2 linked regions of the Xenopus tropicalis genome follow. The protein of the gene in region 2 interacts with the protein of the main gene of each other region in a biochemical or structural test. Links are inferred from orthologs where the notes say so. Each region holds a gene or a part of one and is shown on either strand. Other genes may lie near its edges. The genes, in order: nppa and npr3.

The links.
Region 1: the proteins of npr3 (region 2) and nppa form a complex in vitro, tested with the Homo sapiens proteins (4 studies listed by BioGRID, with this or other methods). The link is inferred for Xenopus tropicalis from reciprocal best matches to the Homo sapiens genes NPR3 and NPPA.

Annotation. Positions count from the first base shown.
Region 1 is NC_030683.2:65,813,860-65,818,123, forward strand, and holds the start of nppa (natriuretic peptides A), read right to left. Parts: upstream 2,866-4,264; 5' UTR 2,758-2,865; coding exon 2,641-2,757; intron 643-2,640; coding exon 328-642; intron 1-327.
Region 2 is NC_030677.2:200,603,138-200,606,967, forward strand, and holds part of npr3 (atrial natriuretic peptide receptor 3), read right to left. Parts: intron 819-3,830; coding exon 707-818; 3' UTR 1-706. UniProt on the Homo sapiens protein: Receptor for the natriuretic peptide hormones, binding with similar affinities atrial natriuretic peptide NPPA/ANP, brain natriuretic peptide NPPB/BNP, and C-type natriuretic peptide NPPC/CNP.

The sequences.
Region 1 (4,264 bases), on a different chromosome or scaffold from region 2:
CGCATGTGCCATCCCACCGGCAACTTACACTTTCGCCAGTGGGATGGCAGGTGATGGCAACTTGGGGAGATTAGTCGCCCGCGAACAGGGAGATTTGTCACGGGCGACTAATCTCCCCGTGTGCCAGAGCCCTAAAGAAAGGGACGGTAAGGTCAGTGAGTAGCCCAACTTTCAAATTAGTCCTCTATAATGGCAAATAAAAGGAAAACTTTGATTTTTTTTTTTTAATTAAAACAAAAGGCAGAATGTTATTTCAACACAATTCCCTTATAATTTTTAGCAAATGTGTTTTTAGGTGGATACTACAAGAATGGGTTTGCTGCTCACCCTATGGCTGTTGCAACCCATGCCACTCTGGGCTCCAATTCTGTCAATGCGTCCTCCAAAGCAGTCTGAGGACCTTCTTAAACTTTTTGGTGAATTTAAAAGCTCTCTTAACTTGCTTTTTAGTCGGGATAGTTTATCAGGTGTTTCCCAGGAAGACCCTCTGTTGAATACTGTATCAGATTGGGGTCTCACAGCCTCTCCGGTCCAGGAAGGAGCAGAGTTAGAAGCATCGGCAACATCAAAATTCTGAGCAAATAAATCTTGGGATGGGGCCACTGGTTCTTCTGCAGGCGCTTCCAAGCGCTCCAAAATGTTCTACAGGAAAAAGATCTTAATGAGCTAAATAAAATGTAGTCAATTGCAGTGAAGAAATTAATTTCTAGTGAACTCTTCCAAATATATATTATGAATGTGTGTAAATTATTGTCATGTAAACAACAGTTTCTCATGTCTGAGGGTAATGTTTAAAAAAAATATCCAAATAATTAGGCAAACTCACATTAAGGGGCAGATTTATCAAAATGTGAGTTTAGAGCTCAATACATAAAATCTCACCCACGTTGTATTCATTCCTATGGGTTTTTTAGAGGTGTATTTATCAAATGGTGAGTTCTAACTCTGACCCCTTGATAAATACGCTTCTAAAAACCCCACAAGAATGAATACAATGTGAGTTTTATGTATTGAGCTCTAAACTCACATTTTGATAAATATGCCCCTAAATGTTACTGGTTGTTCTGGACTGGTGATAAAGAAAGGCTACAACCAGAAACAACTAAACTTTAAAATCATGAGATAAGCTTATCTGCTCTAATATTTTCAGCCAGTAGATGTGGGCCAGATGCTTAAGAGTTATTCTGGTACTTATATAATGTATTAAATACATGTGTAAAGATCAGGGAGGTCCAACTTCAGAATTTTTTTTTTTTAGGTGTGCCTGTGTGAAACTATGTGTATATCAACTTCCCAATAAATGCCCATGTTCACTTGATAAGCTGTACGGCATTTCCAGTGACTTTTTGGATGAAGCAAGAGCTAGACTATAGGATATGAGGAGAGCTGTCTGAATTATTGTTGTTGTTAAAAGCAGAGTTCTCTGACCACTCTTGTGATTTACATTTTTTTTTATTAATGGTCTCTGATTATGCACCACCTTCATAGTAGGGAATCCAATATTTTAGGATCCGGCCAAACCACTAATCCTTTATGAAAGATTCGGGCAAATACTGAACTAAATCCGAATCCTAATTTTCACATGCAAATTAGGATAGGGGAAGGTTAAAGACAATTGTATGCAAAGCAGGCAGTGGCAAATTTTCAACTTCCGTATTTATATGACAAAAAGTCATGTGATTTTTCGGATTCGGTTCAGCAAGAACCATGGATTTGGTGAAATCTGAATCCTGTTGAAAAAGGCTGAATCTTGGCCATATCCCAAAACAAATCTTGGATTCAGTGCATCCCTACTTCATAGTCAGTTAAACCTAGAGAGATGCTGAGTCTAAAACTATAACTCAAAAACTACTAAAAACAAAAAATGTAAGTGAATAGCAAGTGCTCAGAGGAGCAATGTAAGTTGACTTTTTTTGTATTTTGGTTTAGATCTACTTTAATTATAAGAACTTAATAATATATGTGGTGTGTGCCAGCAAAAGATAAACTATAGATTATAATGAATAATGTAACCCCAACTGTAACTGATTTATAGATTTACAAATGATTGTATGAGTAGCATCTAAAACTTGCAAATAAATTATGGGCCCAATATGTTTTACTACAAGCATATTTCTGAATGTTATCATTTTAGGCATTATACATTTTTTTGTGTTGTACATTTATAGATAGTTTTAATTAGCTTATTTAATAGGCAAACTTGCTAAAATCACATGTTGTATTAGGTGGGATACAAGAGCTTCCCTGCTAATTATACATAAAGGAGGTTATACACCAGGGAAAGATCATATGTAGGAAAAAATGAAATTAATTGATGGAATTCAATGTGCACTAAAGATATTTAACTCTGATTTGTTAGTGTAAATAACTACAACAACAGACACTTATATTGGGAAGGCATCCGAGAAACTTCAAAAGGGATCATGTTAATAATAGCTAGTTGCTGTAAATATGTAACTGCCCTTTAATGGATAAACTTAAAAAAGTGTGTAAAATAATAGAATACAGAGCATGCAGTATTTTTTTGCTGGATTCCTACACTTTCTCTTTAATCTTCACTGTTTAGAATTACATTATATTTTCATTCCTTCTTTTGAGTAAAGTTCTTTAGAACCACATCAATGCTACAGAGTCTCTCACCTTTAAGTCTGTTAGATCAGAAGACAAGATAGAGCTGTATGCAGGACTGCCCCTGGCCTTCATCAGAGCAAGAAGAAAGAAGATGAAAGTAAAGTATCCAACGAATGAAGTCCCCATGACTCCTGAGACTTTCTGATATTGACCAAAAACCTAATTTCCACTATAGAAATGTCTGTGTGTCTCCTTGTTTGTTCTGATATACACAACACTGACTCATTTTATATGCGTAGCAGTGACACAGAGTTGCAGAGGAATGAACCCCGCCACATTCTAGCACTTCCGTATGATAAAGAAGCTGGTTGCAGGCCAACAGAAGATTCCCTTTTAAAGTTATTCTTCCCTCTGCATTTCCACAGAATTTCCAGGAGGTGCCTTATCCACTTGACTGAACTGACCTGATGGAAGACTCACATTCTTTGTTAAAGAGGCTTCTCACATGCAGTGTCTGGGTGAAAAGGATAAACTGACCCATCTATCTTTACATCTGCATTCCTTATTAGTGATTCATAGAAAATAAGAAAATTCAAACTTCTAACCAATGTGGTATGGATGGAGTTTAGCTAGTGAAACACACAGGGCAGTGTGGGAGCACTCCAAGACTAATAAAATATAATGTAAGTACAACAGACCTGGCCAGATTAGCTTCAAATAATGCAAAAGCTATAAAAAATGAAGAGCGACTAAAGGTTGCTAATTCTATAACATAGTAAAAGTTAATTTGAAGGTTAACTACCCTTTAAAAGCATTGTTTTAGATCTTAACTTATTGCTGTGCTCATTGAAATAAATACATTTATTCCATGTTTAAAAAGTTTAAATAATAGATTACAAACTCTGAAAAAGCTAAAAACATGTCATAAAATCTACATTGCTAGCCTTTCCTCTCCATTTTTCATTAGTAAACCCTTTCCCTTTTTATAGTAAATTTGTCCCAGTTTAAATATTAAAATGTTAGGCACCCCCAAGTGACTTAAATCGCTTAGCTTTTACCCCGGGCTGGTGCCCCTGTACAGAGAGAACAGCACCAGCCCGGGGTAGCAGCGTTCGCTTCCTTCTTCCTTGTTCGCTGCGCGCGCATGCGCAGTAGAGTGAGTAGCCGAACTTTGAACAGAGAAGTCAGCGTTTCACTCTACTGCGCATGTGCCTGTCCCGGACAATAAGCAGCAGCGCGAATAGGGAAGAAGGAAGCACTCGCTACAGTTACCCCGGGCTGGTGCTGTTTTCTCCTAACAGGGGCACCAGCCCGGGGTACAAGGTAAGCAATTTAAGTCACTTGGGGGTGCCTAACATTTTGGCACCCCAAAGTGACTTAGACTTTCCTTGTCCTTTAAGCATTAACATTTAAAATATAAAGCTTATTTAATCATTTATTCCCCTCCATTTTTTCTCTCTGGTGGCAAATATGGAGTATGAGTATATTTTGAATATGTAGCTAGATATTGTTGTATTTTGTGTGACAATGCCAATGCATTAATTTGTGGCACTAGAGAATATGACCAGTTTTGGAAAGAAGTGACACTATTTCTGACATCTGGGCTTCTGTTTTTTCCCTCGTCACTAACTAGTCAAGCCAGTACTTACCTGGGTTTCCTTACATACTCTAGGTCACCACTCATTTTTAAATA
Region 2 (3,830 bases):
GACAGATTCATTTGCATCAATGCTTCATTGTGTTTGCTTTCAGCTCGCCAGAGTCAACATGAACTCTTCAGTGTACTTTGGCAAAAACAGGTATTTTTAACCCATCGACCTCGAGAATTCATAGCAGAAATAAGATACGTGAATGGTATATTCCGTGCAGAGGCTTTGGGTTTAATGGCCCGGCGTGCTCGTTTTAACTCTTCCGCACAACGTCTACTGTATGGGAGTGAATACAACCCGTACTGCTGCCAGTACCTGCCAAGGTTGCGCACTATCAAATCAAAATTGCGCGGTTGCATTCCAACAACCTTTCCTTCTGCAAAAATTTTCAGTGTCGAAAAAAATAATTTCAGTGTTAACTATGTGTGCCAATTTGGGTTTGTTTTTCCTATGAAGCTCTGGACAAACATGTTGAAAAGGAACATTATTTTTTTTTTAAAAAAGTGCCTATCTTTGTCCGACACACATCGCCCAATGATTTCTACGCACAGATCGTAATAACCTTGTCAAACCGTGCCCGTTTTTCACAAGATGAAAGGCCACATGGCATAATGCAATTAATCGATCATTCCTGAGTTTCTGAAAACAATATGAGAATGGAAATAAGATTCTACTGCCTTAAAAAATAGCTTCTGCAAGAACCCCATCACACGTAATGATGTCTTTGGTTGCTTCTTCCTAAAGATTTTTGTTTGTTTTCTATTCTTTATGCCGCAGAAAAATGAGATCTTATGGAATCTTCCCGAAGCTGTCGGTGTTTCCCTAGGTTGCAGTCGTCCTGCTGATTTCGTCTTTCGATAGTTATTCTGTATTTCTTTCTGCAACGGGAGGAATGTCAATGGTGAGATGGTCAAGTGTCACTTTTTGCTACTAGAGGAGATTTTTCCATATGTTTTTGTAAATAAAAACTGCATTAAATAACCCAATGATAATATCTGTGTTGAAGGAGAGTCAATTTAGCCTGGACTTCAGGTGACTGGGTTTTAAATAGGATAAGGGTTTGCACACAGAAAACACAAGCACAGTGGTAGTATTAAAAAAAAATCCTTTCTATAATATGCAGAAGATTTAACAGCAAACAATTTTAATTACAAAATTACAGAAAATAACACATAAAATGATAAGATAATACATACCACAAAATGTGCATAGGCAAAAAAGAGACACGCATGATAGCGGATACACTTGCCAAAGATGAGAATTACCCCAACGTTTCAGCAAAGAGCCTTTCTCTAGGGGAATCGAGAACGTTGGGGTGTGCAAACCCTTATCCTATTTAAAATTACTGCTTTCGGTACCCTATACAGTTTTGGGTTTTTTTGCACCAAACACCTATGTTGCTTTTTTTGTATGTGAAGTGAGTGGCCTCCATTTATTTATATTTACTTTAGGTGACTGGGTCACAGAAATAACATATGAGGCTAGAGAATGTCTTCGGTTTCATAGAAGGGTTTGAGAAGAACCCTAAATCGGAGTGAAACTCCCCCTACTAAACAGATTCTGGGTCTTCAGTCTTGTGAAATGAAAGCCCAACCTTGTAATACATATAATTACATATATATAAAATGGTCATTCTCTTACAGTTCCAAAGATATCTATGATAGCAACTAAGCATTCACCATAAAGTTTCATGCAACCTCCTTTGGTTTTGAGCCCATTAGGGGACCATTTTCATAGTTGAGAACCACTGCACCAAATATTGTTTTGGGATGGATTCGGGGTTCATCCGAACCCAAAAAGCTGGGTTTGGTGCATCCCTAACTGCCAGGCATGCTGGACAATACAGTGATAACAGTCCCAGCATTTTATATCTAATCAATCACAACAGTATATATTTAGGAAAGGAAATCACATTTTATATTTCACTGATAGGTCCTGACATAGTATACAAATAACAGCAATTGATTCAGTGAAAATAAAACCACATTTTAATGGCTCAAAAATTCATTCAAAACATAATGCAAAACAAATTCAGATATATACTATACCAAACAGTGACAAGGTGCATCCTAGTGCCTCTCCTAACGCGTTTCGCACTGAGTGCTTCATCAGAGGAGGTGTGGTGTGTTGATGTCACATCCCTTTTATACCCATCCACATCTACCCTATACATTGTACAGGGTATTGCATTGAGCATATATTATAACAATATTTTAAAATATACACATTCCAGGGTTAAACAGTGCCCTGTATTCAGCATAAATTATACAGAGTCACATAAAAACCTCGTAGACATTGCAAATTTTCAAAATTCTTCTTAATCAAAAACTTTTTAACCATTATAATGGATATTATGGCCACTGTGTTAGAACATCACACCCAACATATAAAAATACAGTGAAGTTTTAAAGTGCAAATTAGTGCAAATCGATTAAAACCAGCTAAAAACTCTTTCTTTTTGTTCATTCGCTTTATCTTATATTCAGACCCCGACCAGTTACTCATAAGTCACTTTTCAAACCCAGAAGAATTGCCTTTAAGATCATTTGGTGCTATTTAGTGCTATAGGTTGCAACCCATATTTCTCCTACACAAATTATTTCCAGGATGACACTAAAAATGGTTTTAATTCAAATTTTGTATTCATCCCTTTTGGTATTACAGTGTTTAATGTAAATATCCACTTAGATTCTAACCGCAACAGCTTAGTAACCAGGTTTCCTTCACTTCTTTCATTTATTTTATCAATGCCAAACATTTGAAACTGCATCTGCTTGCCTTCATGTGAATATTTAAAATGTTTATATAAAGGGTTATCATCATCCTTATTTTTCAGTCCTCGCAGATGTTCTCCTAACCTTGTTCTTAGCTGTCTGATAGTCCGTCCCACATATATAGAACCACATTCACATTGTAGGCAGTAGATAACATACTGTGTTTGACATGATATATAAGTATCTATACTAAATTCTTTATCATTATTTTTACTGAAAAATGTTTTTTTATTACCAGTATATTTACAGGCTTTACAACCTTTGCATGGAAAGAAACCTTTTACATTACCTAACCAACATGTCACTTTCCTATCGTTATTTCTCTTCAATTTATTTGGGGCTATAAATCCCGCTATCGATTTTGCTTTTCTACTTATAACACCTGGTCTCATATTCAGCTTTTTTAACACTGGATCCACCTGTAAAATATTCCAGTTTCTTTTAATAACTTTAGTTATTTGTTTATATTGCACCCCAAAATCTAGAATGCACCTGATCTCTTCAACTTTTGTAGTTTTGGAGGTTTCCATTTTACTTTTTTTACCTCTATTTTTGTTACTATTTGCTATTAGGTCACCTACTTTGTGTAACGCTATTTGCAGATCATTTTTATTATATCCTCTCTCTTCGAGCCTCTCACACTCTTGTCTCGCTTGTTCTTTAAATATTTTATAATTAGTGAAATTTCTATAAAGTCTCACCAACTGTGCATATGGTATTGACTTTACAGTATGCTCTGGATGGAAGGAATCCCTTCTCAAAATTGTATTGCCTGCAACTAGTTTCCTAAATAGTTTTGTATTAAGTTTTTAGCTGGTTTTAATCGATTTGCACTAATTTGCACTTTAAAACTTCACTGTATTTTTATATGTTGGGTGTGATGTTCTAACACAGTGGCCATAATATCCATTATAATGGTTAAAAAGTTTTTGATTAAGAAGAATTTTGAAAATTTGCAATGTCTACGAGGTTTTTATGTGACTCTGTATAATTTATGCTGAATACAGGGCAATTTTAAACCCTGGAATGTGTATATTTTAAAATATTGTTATAATATATGCTCAATGCAATACCCTGTACAATGTATAGGGTAGATGTGGATGGGTATAAAAGGGA